2 linked regions of the Anolis sagrei genome follow. The protein of the gene in region 1 binds, or shares a complex with, the protein of each later gene. Links are inferred from orthologs where the notes say so. Each region holds a gene or a part of one and is shown on either strand. Other genes may lie near its edges. The genes, in order: PRKG1 and CNN1.

Region 1 (10,035 bases):
AGTGGAAGAAGACAACAGAATAGGAAGGACAAGAGACCTCTTCCAGAAAATTAGAAACATTGGAGGTAAATTTCAGACAAAAATTGATATGATAAGAAACAAAGATGGCAGGGACCTAACAGAAGCTGAAGAGATCAAGAGAAGGTGGCGAGACTATACAGAAGATCTGTATAGGAAGGATAATAATATTGAGGATAGTTTTGACGGTGTGGTGAATGAATTAGAACCAGACATCCTGAGGAGTGAGGTGGAATGGGCCTTAAGAAGCATTGCTAACAACAAGGCAGCAGGAGACGACGGGATCCCAGCTGAACTGTTTAAAATCTTAAAAGATGATGCTGTCAAGGTGATGCATGCCATTTGCCAGCAAATATGGAAAACACAAGAATGGCCATCAGACTGGAAAAAATCAACTTATATCCCCATACCAAAAAAGGGAAATGCAAAAGACTGCTCCAACTTCCGTACAGTGGCCCTTATTTCTCATGCCAGTAAGGTAATGCTCAAGATCCTGCAAGGAAGACTCCAGCAATACATGGAGCGAGAGTTGCCAGATGTTCAGGCTGGGTTTAGAAAAGGTAGAGGAACGAGAGACCAAATTGCCAATATCCGCTGGATAATGGAGAAAAGCAGGGAGTTTCAGAAAAACATCTACTTCTGCTTCATTGACTATTCTAAAGCCTTTGACTGTGTGGATCATAATAAATTGTGGCAAGTTCTTAGTGGGATGGGCATCCCAAGCCACCTTGTCTCTCTCCTGAGGAATCTGTACAAGGACCAAGTAGCAACAGTCAGAACTGACCACGGAACAACAGACTGGTTCAAGATTGGGAAAGGCGTACGGCAAGGCTGCATCCTCTCACCCAACCGTTTTAACTTGTATGCAGAACACATCATGCGATGTGCGGGGCTGGATGAATGCAAAGCTGGGGTGAAAATTGCTGGAAGAAACATTAACAACCTCAGATATGCAGATGACACCACTCTGATGGCCGAAAGTGAGGAGGAGCTGAGGAACCTTCTAATCAAGGTGAAAGAAGAAAGCGCAAAAGCCGGGTTGCAGCTAAACGTCAAAAAAACCAAGATTATGGCAACAAGAATGATTGACAACTGGGAAATAGAGGGAGAAACCGTGGAGGCCGTGACAGACTTTGTATTTCTAGGTGCAAAGATTACTGCAGATGCAGACTGTGGCCAGGAAATCAGAAGACGCTTACTTCTTGGGAGGAGAGCAATGTCCAATCTCGATAAAATAGTAAAGAGTAGAGACATCAGACTGGCAACAAAGATCCGCCTAGTCAAAGCCATGGTATTCCCTGTAGTCACCTACGGATGTGAGAGCTGGACCTTAGGGAAGGCTGAGCGAAGGAAGATCGATGCTTTTGAACTGTGGTGCTGGAGGAAAGTTCTGAGAGTGCCTTGGACTGCGAGAAGATCCAACCAGTCCATCCTCCAGGAAATAAAGCCCGACTGCTCACTGGAGGGAAAGATACTAGAGACAAAGTTGAAGTACTTTGGCCACATCATGAGGAGACAGGAAAGCCTAGAGAAGACAATTATGCTGGGGAAAGTGGAAGGCAAAAGGAAGAGGGGCCGACCAAGGGCAAGATGGATGGATGGCATCCTTGAAGTGACTGGACTGACCTTGAGAGAGCTGAGGGTGGTAACGGCCGACAGGGAGCTCTGGCGTGGGCTGGTCCATGAGGTCACGAAGAGTCGGAGACGACTGAACGAATGAACAACAACAAACTTAACTTTCGTGGTCTTTGGAAGTTACAGAGGCACTGTCTTTCAGGATCATTATCTGTGTGAGAAATATAGATTGGATTAAGCTGTATGTGTGCAATTTTTTATACCCAGAGCTGTCAATTAGTTGTTACAGAGCGCCATAAGGGTTTCATAAATCAGATCAGTCCTAACCTTCTATGTCTCTTATTGACTGGAAAGACTGGCAGTCCCCAAGTTACGAACAAGATGGGTTCTATAGGTTTGTTCCTAAGCTGAATTTGTTTGTAAGTCAAAATAAGTACATTTTAATGTGTAACTCCCGCCACACACACATGTTTTGGATAACATACGGAAAGGTTAACACTCTGGGGTTTATTTTGCTGTCTTTGTTCAGAAGATTTAATCTCACTTTCTGTCCCTGTGAGAATATTTTGGAACTAAGGATTGGTGAAACATCTTCAGTGGAGACAGCCTTCCCACATGATAACTCTTCCAATGGCGCTCCATGCAGTCATGCCGGCCACATGACCTTGGAGGTGTCTACAGACAACGCCGGCTCTTCGGCTTAGAAATTGAGATGAACACCATCCCCCAGAGATGACTGGACTTAATGTCAGGGGAAAACCTTTACCTTTAACTAACTCTTCCAAAAGTGAATTTCCCTTCAGAGGGGTAGATTCCTCTCCCTTCTTGTTGTCTCACCCCCGTTCTTAACTATGGACCACTTGTAAGTCTGATGTTTGTAATCCGGAGACTGTCTGTAATGTTCTTGGCATTTTCCTGCAGACCACACTATTAGTTTGGAAAACTCTGCTTCAATCAAGGTAAGGCAGTTTGAACACCACTTTTAAACTGCTATGGTTGATCAATGCTATGAAATCTTAAGTAGTTGTAGTACGGAAAAGGAGGGTAGAGAATGCTCAGAAGAACTTGCAAAAATGACAACACCCAGGCCCCTTCCACATAACCTTATAAAATCCACATTGAGGTAGATTAAATGACAGTGTGGAGCCAGATAGCCCAGTTCAAAGCATGTATTACGGATTATCTGCCTTGATATTCTGGGGGCCTTTCCACACAGCCATATAACTCAGAATATCAAGGCAGAAAATCCATACAGCTGAATAAAATCCCAAATCTTCTGCTTTGAACTGGAATATATGGCAACGTGGACACAGATAATTCAGTTCAAAGCAGACACTGTGAGATTTTCTGTCTTGATATTCTGGGTTATATTGCTGTGTGGAAAGGCCCTGTATTATATAGCTGCGTGGACTCAGATAACCCAATTTAAAGTGGATATTGTGGATTATCTGCCTTGATCTTCTGTTTTATTATATGGCTGTGTGGACTCGGATAACCCAGTTTGAAGCAAATATTATGGGATTATCTGCCTTGATATTCTGGGTTATATGACTGAGAGCCCTTCCACACAGCCATATATCCCAGGATATCAAGGCAGGAAATCCCACAATATCTGCTTTGAACTGGGTTATCTGATTCCACACTGCCATATATTGTGGCAAGTTCTTGGTGATATGGGAATACCAAATCACCTTGTCTGTCTCCTGAGGAATCTGTATAAGGACCAAGTAGCAATAGTAAGAACTGGCCATGGAACAACAGACTGGTTCAAGATTGGGAAAGGCGTACGGCAAGGCTGCATACTCTCACCCAACCTATTCAACTTGTATGCAGAACACATCATGCGACGTGCGGGGCTTGAGGAATGCAAAGCTGGGGTGAAAATTGCTGGAAGAAACATTAACAACCTTAGATATACAGATGACACCACTCTGATGGCCGAAAGCGAGGAGGAGCTGAGTAGCCTTCTAACCAAGGTGAAAGAATAAAGCGCAAAAGCTGGGTGACAGCTAAACATTAAAAAAAAAAACCAAGATTATGGCAACAAGAATGATTGACAACTGGGAAATAGAGGGAGAAAATGTGGAGGCAGCAACAGATTTTGTATTTCTAGGTGCAGATATTACTGCAGACGCAGACTGCAGCCAGGAATCAGAAGACGCTTACTTCTTAGGAGGAGAGCAATGACCAATCTTGATAAAATAGTGAAGAACAGAGACATCACACTGGCAACAAAGATCTGCATAGTTAAAGCAATGGTATTCCCCATTGTCACCCATGGATGTGAGAGCTGGACGATAGGGAAGGCTGAGCAAAAGAAGATAGATGCTTTTGAACTGTGGTGTTGGAGGAAAGTTCTGAGAGTGCCTTGGATCGCAAGAAGATCCAACCAGTCCATACTTCAGGAAATAAAGCCCGACCGCTCATTGGAGAGAAGGATAGTAGAGGCAAAGATGAAGTACTTTGGCCACATCGTGAGAAGAAAGGAAAGCTTGGAGAAGACAATTATGCTGGGGAAAATGGAAGGAAAAGGGAAGAGGGGCCAACAAAGGGCAAGATGGATGGATTGTATCCTTGAAGTGACTGGCTTGACATTGAAGTAGCTGGGGGTGTTGATAGCAGACAGGGAGCTCTGGTGTGGGCTGGTCCATGAGGTCACATAGAGTCGGAAACGACTGAACGAATGAACAACAACAACAACATCTGATTCCACACTAGGATAATGTGGGATTTATTGTCGAAGGCTTTCATGGCTGGAATCACTGGGTTGTTGTAGGTTTTTTCGGGCTATATGGCCATGTTCTAGAGGCATTCTCTCCTGACATTTCGCCTGCATCTATGGCAAGCATCCTCAGAGGTAGTGAGGTCTGTTGGAACTAGGGAAGTGGGTTTATGTATCTGTGGAATGACCAGGGTGGGACAAAGAACTCTTGTCTGTTGGAGCTAGGTGTGAATGTTTCAACTGAGCACCTTGATTAGCATTTGATGGCCTGTCAATGACTGAGGCAATCTTTTGTTGAGAGGTGATTAGATGTCCTTGTTTGTTTCCTCTCTGTTGTTGTGCTGTTCTAATTTTAGAGTTTTTTTTTAATACTGGTAGCCACATTTTGTTCATTTTCATGGTTTCCTCATTTCTGTTGAAATTGTCCACACACTTGTGGATTTCAATGGCTTCTCTGTGTAGTCTGACATGGTGGTTGTGAGAGTGGTCCAGCATTTCTGTGTTCTCAAATAATATGCTGTGTCCAGGTTGTTCATCAGGTGCTCTGCTATGGCTGACTTCTCTGGTTGAAGTAGTCTGCAGTGCCTTGGAGAGTTGGAAGCCTGGACACAGCATATTATTTGAGAACACAGAAATGCTGGACCACGCTAACAACCACCATGTCAGACTACACAGAGAAGCCATTGAAATCCACAAGCACCTGCAGGTGCAACGTCAGGAGAGAATGCCTCTAAAACATGGCCTTATAGCCCGAAAAAACCTACAACAACCTAATGTGGGATTATCTGCCTTGATATCCTGGGATAAAGGGCTGTGTGGAAGGGCCCTGAGTGGAAGGGCCACCAGTTTGTCAATAGCATCGAACTAGGGCACCCATTGGCAGGACCTGTGCTGGACAGCTAATTCTGCAAAGAAGAGGCGCCCATTGGCGGGGCCAGAGTGGTTGAAAGACACCTGTGCTTGACAGCTAACGCACGTTCTGTTGTGTGTATGTTTTTTGGACTGTTTGTGAGGCGCTCAAGCCGACTTCCCGCCAAAAATTAAAGTCTGTCAGAGAAGACTGGGAAGAGGGAAAGAAGCCCCCGCGCCTCCTCTCCCCCTCCCCCCCCCACCGCGAGCGAGCGCGCGCGCGCTTCGAACTCTCCAAGGGTTGATCTCTCTCTCTCCTCTGAGACGGAAGAGAGCGCGTGCTTCGGCGGGAAAACACGCAACACAACAAGCGGCGCGCGCCGTCTTTGGGGGGCCAGGAAGGCGCCCGGAATGCAGCCCTCTCCCTCCTTTTTCTTCTTCTTACGAGGCTGAGTTGTGCGGAGGAAGGAGGAGAAGGGGGGTGGGAGAAAGAGGGGCGGCCGTAACAGCTGAGGAGAAGGAGGAGGAGAAAGAAGAAGAGAGGCGGGGGCGCGGGCGGGATAGCGGAACGGCGGCGGCGGCGGCGGAGGGAGAGAGAAAGCGGCGGCATGCTGCAGACGCCCCTCGCGCTCCCTCCTCACTCTCCGTCTCTCTCCAGTCTGGTGGCCTGACGCAGGCAAGCAGGCGGAGAGGAGGAGGAGGAGGAGGAGGGTGGTGGGCTTCTCCCCAGGATGGGGGCTCCCTTCCCCTAGGAAGCGGCGAGTAGCAGCAACAGTCCAACAGGCAAAGTTGGCGCGAAGTGGGACGAGGCGGAGGGGGAGAGGTGGCTCCGTCGGCGGCGGCGGCGTTGGCGGCTCCCTTCGAGGATGGGGACGCTGCGGGATTTGCAGTACGCCTTGCAAGAGAAGATCGAGGAGCTCCGCCAGCGGGACGCGCTCATCGACGAGCTGGAGCTGGAGCTGGACCAGAAGGACGAGCTCATCCAGCGGCTCCAGAACGAGCTGGACAAGTACCGCTCCGTGATCCGGCCGGCCACCCAGCAGGCGCACCAGGGGGCCGCTGGAGCCCTGCCCGGGGGAGGAGGAGGAGGCGGTGGGGGTGGAGGAGGAGGAGGAGGAAGCGGAGGAGGAGGGGGCGAGCAGCGGACCAAGCGGCAGGCCATCTCCGCCGAGCCCACCGCCTTCGACCTCCAGGACCTCAGCCACGTCACCCTGCCCTTCTACCCCAAGAGCCCGCAGTAAGCACCCACCGCCTCGAGGGGTCCCTGTCTCTGTCTCTGTGTGTCTCTCTCTGTGTCTGTGTCTTGTCTGGCTTCCCCCCCATCTCTCCTTCCTCTACAATCACTTTGCGCCCACATTCCCCAGAGCCACCTTCAGGCGCACACAGCTGGATCTACACTGCCCTGTATACCAGGATCTCATCCCAAAGTATATGCTTTGGACGGGATTATATGAGTCTACACAGCCAGATAATCTGAAGTCAGATCCTGAGATATAGTGCAGTGCCCTTTTGCAGTCCCACACATAGGGAGATCTACACTGCCCTATATCTCAGTATATGCTTTGGACTGGATTATATGAGTCTACACAGCCAGATAATCTGAAGTCAGATCCTGAGATATAGTGCAGTGCCCTTTTGCAGTCCCACACATAGGGAGATCTACACTGCCCTATATCTCAGTATATGCTTTGGACTGGATTATATGAGTCTTTAAAGCCAGATAATCTGAAGTCAAATCCTGAGATATAGTGCAGTGCTCTTTGCAGTCCCACTCATAGGGAGACTCGGGGGTCCCTTGATTTACAAAGGATTCCTTACAATATTTTACAATCAAAACTATTCCATAGAAGGAACTCTTGGCTACCCTTCCCTTCTCTCTCTCTACACACACACACACACACAGTGAGGCTGGATCTACACTGCCCTATATCCCAGGATCTGATCCCAAAGTATATGCTTTGGACGGGATTATATGAGTCTACACAGCCAGACAGAGGCGGCCCTAGGTAATTTTCAACGGTAAGCAAACAGTATTTTGGCGCCCCCCCCCCCCAACCAAGCATTGATATATATTTTCTGTTTGTCATGGGAGTTCAGCGTGCCATATTTGGTTCAATCCCATCATTGGTGGAGTTCAGAATGCTCTTTGATTGTAGGTGAACTATACATCCCAGTAACTACACTTGCTGCACTTGCTCCCTTGCCTGGCCCGCTTTGGGTCCGGAGGCGTGCCTGAAGACCCCAGCGTGTGCACCAAAAGTCACCTCTTCTCCTGACTTTCTCCTCAGCCATTGGGACCAAGAGAGAGAGAGAGAGAGAGAGAGAGGTGGAGATGCCCACCTTTCCTGAAAGTAGGCGCAAAAACAAAGGAGGAAGCAGAGGTGGGAGATACCTCCAGCCGGAGGGGCTCTCTCTCTCTCTCTCTCTCTCTCTCTCTTGGTCCCAATGGCTAAAGAGAAAGTCAGGAGAAGAGGCAACTTTTGGTGCACATGCTGGGGTCTTCAGACACGCCTCCGGACCCAAAGCGGGCCAGGTGCGGCGGCTCCCCCCCTTGGCCCACCCACGGATTGGGGAGAGGAGAGGAGGCGAGTGGAGCGCTGGGGGATCGGGAAAGGGAGCCGGTCATGGGGAAGGGATCGAACGCGGAGAATGATTGAGCGCCGGCGCTGCTCATGCATCCGGTAGCCGGGTGGAGCAGGAACGAGCAGGGCGAGGCGAGGGTCAAGGGCCCGGCCCCTTTGGGATGAGGATCTCCCAGCAGTGAGGCAAGAAAGCCGAGGCTCCCCCCGGACTGCTATGGCTGTTGTGAGCTGAGGGGGTGCTCCTCAAGTGGTGGTCGAGGGGCATTTACAGAGGTGCCTCGGCGCCCCTGGCAAAAAAAAGTGTTCTGCGACCGCTTACTTCGCGTAATGGATGAGCCGCCCCTGCAGCCAGATAATCTGAAGTCAGATCCTGAGATATAGTGCAGTGCCCTTTTGCAGTCCCACACATAGGGAGATCTACTGCCCTATATCTCAGTATATGCTTTGAACTGGATTATATGAGTCTACACAGCCAGATAATCTGAAGTCAGATCTTGAGATATAGTCCAGTGCGCTTTTGCAGTCCCACGCATAGGGAGACTTGGGGGTACCTTGATTTACAAAGGATTCCTTACAATATTTTACAAACAAAACTATTCCATAGAAGGAACTCTTGGCCACCCCTCTCCTCCTCTCTCTCTCTCTCTCTCTCTCTACACAGAGTGAGGCTGGATCTACACTGCCCTATATTCCAGGATCTGATCCCAAAGTATATGCTTTGGACAGGATTATGTGAGTCTACACAGTCAGATAATCTGAAGTCAGATCCTGAGATATAGTCCAGTGTGCCCTTTTGCAGTGCCACACATAGGGAGACTTGAGGGTACCTTGATTTACAAAGGATTCCTTACAATATTTTGCAAAAAACAAAACAAAACAAAAAACTATTCCTTAGAGCAGTGGTTCTCAACCTGGGGTCCCCAGATGTTTTTGGCCTACAACTCCCAGAAATCTCAGCCAGTTTACCAGCTATTAGGATTTCTGGGAGTTGAAGGCCAAAAACATCTGGGGACCCCAGGTTGAGAACCACTGCCTTAGAAGGACCTTTTAGCCAATTTTAGTATTTTACAAAAAAAAAAACCCCTTATTTTTAGAAGGAAGTCTTAGCCATCCCCCCCCCCCCCCCTCTACACACAAAATGAGGCTGGATCTACACTGTCCTATATCCCAGGATCTGATCCCAACGTATATGCTTTGGGCCAGGTTATATGAGTCTACACAGCCAAATAATCTGAAGTCAAATCCTGAGATATAGTGCAGTGCTCTTTTGCAGTCCCACTCATAGGGAGACTTGGGGGTACCTTGATTTACAAAGAATTCCTTACAAGATTTTACAAACAAAACTATTCCATAGAAGGAACTCTTGGCCACCCTTCCCCCCTCTCTCTACACACGCACAGAGAGAGGCTGGAGCTACACTGCCCTATATCCCGGGATCTTATGCCAGAGTATTTGCTTTGGACTTGGTTATATGAGTCTATGCTCCCAGATAATCTGGGATCAGATCCTGGGATATAGGGCAGTGTCCTCTCTCTTGGCCCTTTTGTAGTCCCACACATAGGGTGACTTGGGGTACCTTGACTTACAAAAGATTCCTTACAATATTTTATAAACATTCCTTAGAAGGAACTCTTGGACACCTCTTTGTATGTATGTGTATATATATAAATACACACAACCAAACAAACACACACACACAGTGAGGCTGGATCTACACTGCGTTATATTCCAGGATATGGTCCCAGAGTATATGCTTAGAACTGGGTTATATGAGTCTAAATGCCTCCTGGTGGCGCAGTGGGTTAAACCACTGAGCTGCTGAACTTGCTGACCGAAAGGTTGGTGGTTTGAATCCTCGGGATGGGGTGAGCTCCTGCTGTTAGCCCCAGCCTCTGCCAACCTAGCAGTTTGAAAATATGCAAATGTGACTAGATCAATAGATAACAGCACTCCGTGCAGTCATGCTGGCCACATGACCTTGGAGGCGTCTACGGACAATGCTGGCTCTTTGGCTTAGAAATGGGGATGAGCATTACCCCCAGAGTCGGATGTGACTAGACAAAGTCTGGGGAAGCCTTTACCTTATAGGAGTCTACACTGTCAGATAATCTTGGAACGGATCCTGGGATGAAGGGCAGTATGGAAGTGGCTTCTCTCTTTCCTTTTGCAGGACACTAAGGGTATCTTGCCTTACAAAAGATTCTTTACAGTATTTTACAAAAAATATCCCTTAGAAGGAACTCTTGCCCACCTCTTTCCTTACACACACAGTGAGGCTGAATCTACACT
Region 2 (9,962 bases), on another chromosome or scaffold:
GAGAACCATACTGGTTCATGGCCAGTATGGTTGGGGGTCACAACAACATAAGGAACTGTATTAAGGGGTCATGGCATTAGCAAGGTTGAGAACCATACTGGTTCATGGCCAGTATGGTTGGGGGTCACAACAACATAAGGAACTGTATTAAGGGGTCATGGCATTAGCAAGGTTGAGAACCACTGTTCTAAGTGTTCTGGCCATCGATTTGGACTGGTCCAAAATCTGTAATGAATGCCTCCTGACACTGACCCTCTGAAAAAGTATCTAGTATCTTTATTCCAATAGTAAGCATCAATATTTGCCCATGCTCTCTTTCTCTCTCATAGTATAAGATAGGCAGAAGACAATGGGAGAAGAAAAGCCTCCTCCAGTTGAGAGGCTGTGAAATCCTGAATGAGAAGGCTTCCCAAGCAACCCAGAAGCTTCTCGAGGAAGGAGCAGAGGCCAACCCCAGGGATTCCTCTCAAAATGAAGAGAACGAAGTTTGAAGAGTCTGTTCACCTTGTAATTCAAGCCATGGAATGGTCAGACTCTCATCCTTCGCCATCCAAATGGCAACAACAGCCAGACAACTGAAACAGTCATCGCACTATCTCTTGGCGGATATCCTATCTCGGCAACTGTATTGCACACTTATGTGCTTTGGCAACACTTGCTGACCACTGCAAGGTGCTGCAGTGTGTCTTGCCAGCTTCTTGGGATGAACCTAATGAATCTCCTTAGCCCTCAGATACCTAACCTGCAAGGAGGAGAATTGCTTGTCCAAGCAAGAAGTGTGTGGATGCCTAGAAGATGTAGGTTTTGGCCTGGTCAGGGTTGTAGCCATCCAGGGGCGGCTCAACCCATTACTCAAAGTAAGCATTTGCAGTATAGTTGATTTTGCCCAGGGGCGCTCTTGAGGCGCTCTTGGGGGAAGATAGACTTTGACACATGCGAGTTGTAGTTACTGGAATGTATAGTTCACCTACAATCAAAGAGCACTCTGAACTCCACCAATGATGGAATTGAACCAAATATGGCACACAGAACTCCCACGACGAACAGAAAATATATATCAGTGATTGGTTAGGCGGGGGGGGGGGGGGGGGGTGGTGCCAAAATACTGTTTGCTTACCGTTGAAAATTACCTAGGGCCGCCTCTGTAGCCATCTATATCTATATGTATATATCTATATCTATATGTGGGTTGATGATATTGCCCCATCAATAAGATTTTTGCCTCCCTTCATGAAATGTTATTTCAGTCCTCAAATTGCTAGTATTGCAGAGAGCGAGACACTGAAAATCATTTCATAGAATCCTAGAGTTGGAAGAGACCTCATGGGCCATCCAGTCCAACCCCCTGCCAAGAAGCAGGAAAATTGCATTCAAAGCACCCCCGATAGATGGCCATCCAGCCTCTGTTTAAAAGCTTCCAAAGAAGGAGCCTCCACCACACTTCGGGGCAGAGAGTTCCACTGCTGAACGGCTCTCACAGTCAGGAAGTTCTTCCTAATGTTCAGATGGAATCCACTTAGAAATCCTCTGTTTGTTGTGTTGGCATTCACTTGGGAATTGTGCCTGCCCCTTTGCTTTGGATGACTAAACTCTATCTTTAAACTGCTAAACTGAGTTATTGTAATTTGGGTATTGAAGGAAGGAAAATGTCATGTGGGACAACATTCTTATTTGGGGAACAACACCTTGGTTTTAAACCTGCCTCCCCCCAACCCCCCATGCTACCACCATGGATCTGGTCAGTGTGGGATAGAAACCTATCTGAGGTTCTCCTTCTATCTGTGTGAAATACCTCCTGAAGTTTCATTTTCCCCAAACTCCACCATGTTCACATTTGGGCATATTGAGGTTTCATGTAGAGTTTGGTCCAGATCCATCATTGTTTGAGTCCACAATGATCTCTGGATATAGGTGAACTACAACTCCAAAACCAAAGGACATTGCCCACCAAACCCTTCCAATATTTTCTGTTGGTCAGGGGAGAACTGTGTGCCAAGTTTGGTTCAATTCCATCGTTGGTGGGGTTCAGAATGCTCTTTGATTGTAGTTGAACTATAAATCCCAGCAACTACAACTCTCAAATGACAAAATCAATGTTTTTGAGTGAAGAACATACATTGGGTTGTTAGGTGTCTTGTGTCCAAATTTGGCGTCAATTCGTCCAGTGGTTTTTGAGTTCTGTTAATCCCACAAACGAACATTACATTTTTACTTATAAAGACTAGCTGTCCCCTGCCACGCGTTGCTGTGGCCCCGGTCTGTGTATGTATATATATTTGTGTATATGTGTATATATATGTGTGTGCGTGTGTGTGGTTATGCGCATGCGTTGTAATTTTTTTTTTTTGCTTTTTAAGTCTCTTCCACTGTGTTTTTCAGTGTTTTTATGAGTGATAGTCACTCGTTGGCCTCATACGTGTCTTGTGTCCAAATTTGGTGTCAATTCACCCAGTGGTTTTTCAGTTATGTCAATCCCACAAACGAACATTACATTTTTATTTATATAGATGTCTTGTAAGGATTAATGAGTCTGAAAGAATGTTTGTGAATCAGTTTGAACATGTGTGTTCCAAGAATAATACTTTGCTTTCGTTTGATGCCTTGAATCCACTTACAGCAAACTAGCTTTTGGTGCCTCCGACTCCTTCAGGAAAATAGGATCGTCCCAGGCTGTTATCTATGCCTAAATAGTGTTGAGGCACCAGTTCTTGTCTGATCTTGGAAACTAAGCAGAGTCAGCCCTGAGTAATATCTTGATGGGAGATGACCAACGAACACCAGGTGCTACATGAAGGAACTGTCAAAACCATATGAATATTCCTGGCCTAAGAAAACCCTAGTAAACTCATGGGGTCACCATAGGTGGACAGGTGACTTCAAGGTAAACACACATGCTTGGGAGTGATCCTGGACTCATCACTGAGCCTGGAACCCCAGGTCTCGGCGGTGGTCGGGAGACCTTTTGCACAATTAAAACTTGTGCACCAGTTGCGCCCGTACCTTGGGAAGTCTGATCTGGCCACAGTGGTCCACGCTCTCATTACATCCCGAATAGATTACTGCAACGCACTCTACTTGAGGTTGCCTTTGAAGACTGTTCGGAAACTTCAATTAGTCCAGCGGGTAGCAGCTAGATTACTCACCGGAGCATCATACAGGGAGCATACCACCCCTCTGTTATGTCAGCTCCACTGGCTGCCGATCCACTTCCGAGCACAATGCAAAGTGCGGGTTTAGACCTATAAAACCCTATATGGTTCTGGCCCAGCGTATCTGTCCGAACGCATCTCCCTCTACGTCCCGCCTCGGAGTTTAAGATCTTCTGGGGAGGCACTGCTCTTGGCCCCACCTCTATCACAAGTGAGATTGGTGGGGACGAGGAGCAGGGCCTTCCCAGTGGTGGCCCCTCACCTGTGGAACTCACTCCCTGGGGAAATTAGGTCATCAACATCCCTCCTCTCCTTTAGAAGGAAATTAAAAACATGGATTTGGGACCAGGCCTTCGGGTAATCTGGCGGATAGATAAGGGACAAGTGACGACTAGAATTGATGGATTGGACAATATGGAATTTGAATTTACGGACTCTGAGCTGATAAACGTTGAGCACTAGATTGTTTTTAGGGATTGTGATGTAAAATGGATTGTTTTAATTACTATTTATATGTGTTATTTTTCACCTTGTTGTTCTGCCGGCGTCAAATTGTGCCTTTTTGTAAGCCACCCTGAGTCCCCCCTCGGGGGTTGAGAAGGGCTGGGTAGAAGTGCGAGAAATACATAAATAAATAAAAATTTGTAAAAAGAGCTACACAAATTCTACCTGTTATATTAACATTGACTTTGTTCACTCCAAAACATTTTAGCCAAAACTCTGACATATTCATCACTCAGAATTATTATGTGAATGTGTGGCCTTTTTTTGTCCGGTTCACGTTGGTTTCCCACACAATGCCTTGGATTATAACCCCCATCACTCCCAGTCACCTAGCCTTGGATGATGGAGATGTAGCTGAAAATATTTGGACAGCACCATAAGACTGATGCCAGCCAGTACCTACCAAGAAAGACCATGGCACGCACTTAGGTGCCCTAGACTTGCGGGCATCCTGATACCACTAGATCCGCAAGCCAACTGGTACTGTCCCCATCCTCTCAATCAAGAACCACCTTCCCATGGAGTGAACTCCCAGTGCTAGGTCAGCACCTCCAGCAGTACTTCCCTTACCTTATTCTTGACTTCAGCTGACATGCCATAGGCTGGGCCCCGGTTGAAGTGTGTTGCAGACATATTGCCCACGTGTGGTGCTGGTGGCAGTGATGGTGCTGCTCCTCAGTGGGGTTGGGTGCTCTCCGTGGTGCACGTCGGCTCTGCCTCTCCACCGGCTTTCCCTGCAACTTTTAAAAACTCATTGCTCTCCGGCTCTCCCCCTCCTCCTATCTGAGGGGGAGTCCTTCCATTGGCCCGGCTGCGTGGCCAATCGCCACCTGCCAGGGATGCTGATGTCAGCCTGTTGGTATTAAGAAATGATGGTGTCATTTTTTCCACCTTGGAGGGGGTGCTGTGGGGTTGGGGGGGGGACACATATCCACTTCTGCTGCTGACTCAATTCCCTGAGATATTCTAAATATTTACAGGAGCCCGAATCTGTGAGAAGTGGGGAAGCAGTGATGGGATGGGACCAGTTGGCAGAGCATCCCCAGCCCATAGCTCTCCCCCTGCCCCTTGTGGCACTGCCCCCTGCCCCTCTCACTCCACTACTTCTGTGTCTTCCCCAGCTTTCTGCTTCTGTGTGGCTGTTCATCTGTGGGGAAGCCCCCCTTCTCTTTCAGCATCTTTCCCAAGGAAAGCATCTACGCCACTCACTTTCCTTTTTTTTCATGCCTCAAAACCGCAAAAGAACAAGCTAGAAAATTCGAGTCCAGTCACTCAGGGGGAAGCGCTTTGTTGGCTGTCTGGCCAGGCCTCCCTGGACTTTTCTGCACCAGTTCCCTTTGCCTCGTCATCTTGTTTGGTTTTTTTTCAACTCACATGTTGCTTTGGCAGCTGGTAGGGCTCCGTTTCTTTTCCTGCAAAGAACTTTCCCCAAAGTTTCTGCATGGAACAGTTTAACGTGACACTTTCCCCCTAAACAGATCTGACTGTCGACTTCAAGAGTCTGATATTTCTAGATAAGAAATCCTTGCTGAATGTAGCTTAGCTCTTGCTGCTGAGAATTCAGATGGGGGGGGGGGGGGGTTGAGGGTATGTGAACCAACAAACATTCCTGGCCAAAAGAGCTTGTTGAGATATCTGTGGTCATTTCACAGATTTTGTTGTTCATTCGTTCAGTCGTCTCCAACTCTTCGTGACCTCATGGACCAGCCCACGCCAGAGCTCCCTGTCGGCTGTCACCACCCCCAGCTCCTTCAAGGTCAGTCCAGTCACTTCAAGGATGCCATCCATCCATCTTGCCCTTGGTCAGCCCCTCTTCCTTTTACCTTCCACTTTCCCCAGCATAATTGTCTTCTCTAGGCTTTGCTGTCTCCTCATGATGTTGCCAAAGTACTTCAACTTTGTCTCTAGTATCCTTCCCTCCAGTGAGTGGGCTTTATTTCCTGGAGGATGGACTGGCTGGATCTTCTCGCAGTCCAAGGCATTCTCAGCACTTTCCTCCAGCACCACAGCTCAAAAGCATCGATCTTCCTTCGCTCAGCCTTCCCTAAGGTCCAGCTCTCACATCCGTAGGTTACTACAGGGAATACCATGGCTTTGACTCTGCGGATCTTTGTTGCCAGTCTGATGTCTCTACTCTTTACTATTTTATCGAGATTGGACATTGCTCTCCTCCCAAAAAGTAAGCGTCTTCTGATTTCCTGGCCACAGTCGGCATCTGCAGTAATCTTTGCACCTAGAAATACAAAGTCTGTCACAGCCTCCACATTTTCTCCCTCTATTTTCCAGTTGTCAATCATTCTTGTTGCCATAATCTTGTTGCCATAATGCCATAATTACACAGATATATAAACCCATTTTCCTACTTTCAGCAGACCTCACTACCTCTGAGGATGGTTGCCATAGATGCAGGCGAGACGTCAGGAGAAAATGCCTCTAGAACATGGCCATATAGCCCAGAAAAACTTACAACAACCCAGTGATTCCAGCCATGAAAGCCTTCGACAATACATTGTTGAGATGTGTTTTCAAAAGCACGTGGTGCCTGCTGCGAAAATATTTAAAATGTGCATTTAATATGGCATGCTTTTAAAGAAAAAGATGGACCACTTTCAGGATGACAGGAGACAGAAATGGGGAATTAGAACCTTTTTGCTAAGGAGCAGCAGTACTTTTAGCAAGTGTAAGAACACCCTTCCCATTAAATAAACACTAATCTATATAAATAAAAATGTAATGTTTGGGGGAAATAGACCTTGACATAGAATCATAGAGTTGGAAGAGGGAGCCTCCACCACCCTCTGGGGCAGAGAGTTCCACTGCTGAATGGCTCTCACAGACAGGAAGTTCTTCCTCATGTTCAGATGGAATATCCTTTCTTGTCTATATAAATAAAAATGTAATGTCCATTTGTAGGATTAACAGAACTCAAAAACCACTGGACAAATTGACACTAAATTTGGACAGCATAAACCTAACAACCCAATGTATGTATTTCACTCAAAAAATTTGATTTTGTCATTTGGGAGTTGTAGTTGCTGGGATTTATAGTTCACCTACAATCAAACAGCATTCTGAACTCCACCAATGATGGAATTGAACCAAATGTGGCATACAGGACTCCAATGATCAACAAACAACACTAGAAGTGTTTGGTGGACATTGGCCTTGAGTTAGGGAGTTGTAGTTCACCCGCATCCAGAGAGCACTGTGGACTTAAACAATGATAGATCTGGACCAAACTTGGCACAAATATTCCATATGTCAAAATATGAACACAGATGGAGTTGGGGGGAAATAGACATTGACATTTGGGAGTTGTAGTTACTGGGATTTATAGTTTACCTACAATCAAAGAGCGTTCTGAACCCCACCAACAGAATTGGGGCAAACATCCCACACAAAACCCCCATGACCAAGAGTCCACAGTGCTCTCTGGATGTAGGTGAACTACAACTCCCAAACTCATCAATGCCCGCCAAACCCTTCTAGTGTTTTCTCTTGGTCATGGGAGTTCTGTCTGCCAAGATTGGTTCAGTTCCATCATTGGTGGAGTTCAAAATGCTCTTTGATTGTAAATAAACTATAAATCCCAGCAACTACAACTCCCAAATGACAAAATCAATTTTTTTGAGTGAAGGACATACATTGGGTTGTTAGGTGTATGCTGTCCAAATTTGGTGTCAATTTGTCCAGTGGTTTTTGAGTTCTGTTAATCCCACAAACAAACATTACATTTGTATTTATATAGATAAAAAACTATGGATTGCTCTTAAAGAAATGGGTATGCCCTAACATTTGATTGTTTTGTACTAAAAACAAGAGGCTACTGTTAAGAACAGAATATGGAGCATCTGAATGGCTTCCTGTTTGTAAGGAGCTAAGCCATTTCATCGATTATACTCAAATGCTGAACATAACATATCTAAAGCGAATTAGATGCAGAAGGAGGAGGCATGAATACTTGAGGAAGGAACATCAACAATTTAAGATATGTAGATGATGCAATATTACTAGGAGAAAATAGCAAAGTCTTGGAATGATCACTAAAGAAAGAAAGTGCAATGGCAGGTTTATAGCTCAACATTAAGAAAATAAAAATGATTTATATACCTTTAAAGTAGACAGGTGTTGGAATAATTCAAGTTTTTCCACACCTTGGCTCAGTCATTAATCAGAATGGAGGCTGTAGTTGAGAAATTGGAAGGCCAACTATAAAAAAATTAGACAAGATCTTGAAGGATATATATCATAGAATACTAAAGTTAGGATTGTCCATGTCTTTGTATTTACCATTTCTATCTATGGTTGTGAAAGCAAGACAGTGAAGAAAGCAGATGGGTAGAACATCAGCTCATATGCAATGTGGTTGTGTAAAAGAGTTCCATGTTACCATGGATTGCTAAAAGGACAAATAAATGGATCCTAGAAAAAAATCTTGAATTCTTTTAGAAGCTAAGATGACTAAACGGAGGATGCGGTACTTCGGTCTATAATGGAAAAGCAAGAAAAGACAATAACACTTGTTAAATAGAAGGTAATCAGAAAAGAAGTGAATAAACTTGATAAGGAAGCCACGGATCTGAGCCTGGAAGACCTGAGCATTGTTGTTGTTGATAAGGTGACCTGGGTTGTATTTTATTGTTTACCTGTGCAGCATTGAATTTTTGCCAGATTTGTAAGCCACCTTGAGTCCTCTTCAGGGTCGAGAAAGGCGGGGTAGAAATGAAGTAAATATGTGATGGCGCGAGTGGCGCCACCTATGTGTAGAACTGTTGCAAGATTTAAACTGTTGTTTATACCTGTATTGTTTGGCTCCGCCTCTTCCTGGAGGAGGGGAGTGCTTCCCTTTTCATTCTGCCATCAGAGTTTCTATCGGATGGACGTGAGTAAGAGACTTGGCTCTAAAAGCCCCTGCTTAAATTACCTCTCAGCAACAGTTCTGAGGTTTTTTACCCTTGAGACTTATGCTTCATGTTCAGACCAACCTGAACGACGTTAGAAGTTTCAAGCGCCTTCAAACCGGTTCTTTTGGCACCAGAGGAAGATCCTGGGTCTTCAAACATAGGCCATTTGAACTGGGGTTGTGGTTTGCTCCGGCATTCACAGCCATTGAGGAAAGAGGAAACAGGAAAAGCTTCTCAGCTACAAACTCCTTGGACTTCAGAGATTGTAAAGTATATTTCCTTTATCCCTGTTGAAACATCAAGCTTATGCCTGAGAAAGATAACTCATTGTGAACAATAAATACCATTTCGAGTTATCTGTTGTGTTTCGGTCTTTGGTAGTTCCAGTTTCCTATAGGAGGGCAAGAAACAATCCCCTGGGGAAAGATGCCACGTCCATGCCTCTCTCATTAAGAGTTATAGCCCCCAGGCTATTTTCCCACTGGAGCGATACCTATTGATCTATTCACATTTGCATGTTTTCGAACTGCTAGGTTGGCAGAAGCTGGGGCTAACAGTGGAAGCTCATGCTGCTCCCTGGATTCGAACCTGTGACCTTTCGGTCAACAAGCTTAGCAACTCAGTGGTTTGAGCCACTGTGCCGCCAGGAGCTCCCGTGATGTCTCTACTCTTCACTATTTTATCGAGATTGGACATTGCTCTCCTCCCAAGAAGTAAACGTCTCCTGATTTCCTGGCTGCAGTCTACGTCTGAAGTAATCTTTGCACCTAGAAATATAAAGTTTGTCACTACCTCAATGTTTTCTCCCTTTATTTGCCAGTTATCAATCAATCTGGTTGCCATAATCTTGGTTTTTTTTATGTTTAGCTGCAACCCAGCTTTTGTGCTGTCTTCTTTCACCTTGATTACAAGGCTCCTCAGCTCCTTCTCACTTTTGGCCATCAAAGTGGTATCATCTGCATATCTAAGGTTGTTAATGTTTCTTCCAGCAATTTTCACCCCAGCCTTGCATTCCTCAAGCCCCGCACATCGCATGATGTGATCTGCATACAAGTTGAATAGGTTGGGTGAGAGGATACAACCCTGTGGTACGCCTTTCCCAATCTTGAACCAGTCTGTTGTTCCATGGTCAGTTCTTACTGTTTCTATTGGTCATTATATGAGGGGTATTTTTTAAGCAAGGTCCGTTTGAACGTAAGTACACAACGAAAGTTTATTTCAAAAAAGTAAATTTATTTTCATAAAGTACATACTTCACTCTATTTTTCGACATAGTTGCCAAGTTTGTTCAAACACTTATCATACCTCTGAACCAATTTTAAAATACCCTCTTCATAAAAACTTGTCGCCTGCTCCGATAACCAAGAGTTCACTGTAATCAGAGAAGGGCGACCGGAGCAGTCCT

What was found.
Region 2: PRKG1 (region 1) and CNN1 share a complex: the UniProt entries of both Homo sapiens proteins name them as parts of the cGMP kinase signaling complex. The link is inferred for Anolis sagrei from reciprocal best matches to the Homo sapiens genes PRKG1 and CNN1.

What each region holds. Positions count from the first base shown.
Region 1 is NC_090023.1:181,874,044-181,884,078, reverse strand, and holds the start of PRKG1 (cGMP-dependent protein kinase 1), read left to right. Parts: upstream 1-5,715; 5' UTR 5,716-6,030; coding exon 6,031-6,401; intron 6,402-10,035. UniProt on the Homo sapiens protein: Serine/threonine protein kinase that acts as a key mediator of the nitric oxide (NO)/cGMP signaling pathway. GMP binding activates PRKG1, which phosphorylates serines and threonines on many cellular proteins.
Region 2 is NC_090022.1:163,337,331-163,347,292, forward strand, and holds the start of CNN1 (calponin-1), read right to left. Parts: upstream 4,414-9,962; 5' UTR 4,287-4,413; coding exon 4,224-4,286; intron 1-4,223. UniProt on the Homo sapiens protein: Thin filament-associated protein that is implicated in the regulation and modulation of smooth muscle contraction. It is capable of binding to actin, calmodulin and tropomyosin. The interaction of calponin with actin inhibits the actomyosin Mg-ATPase activity.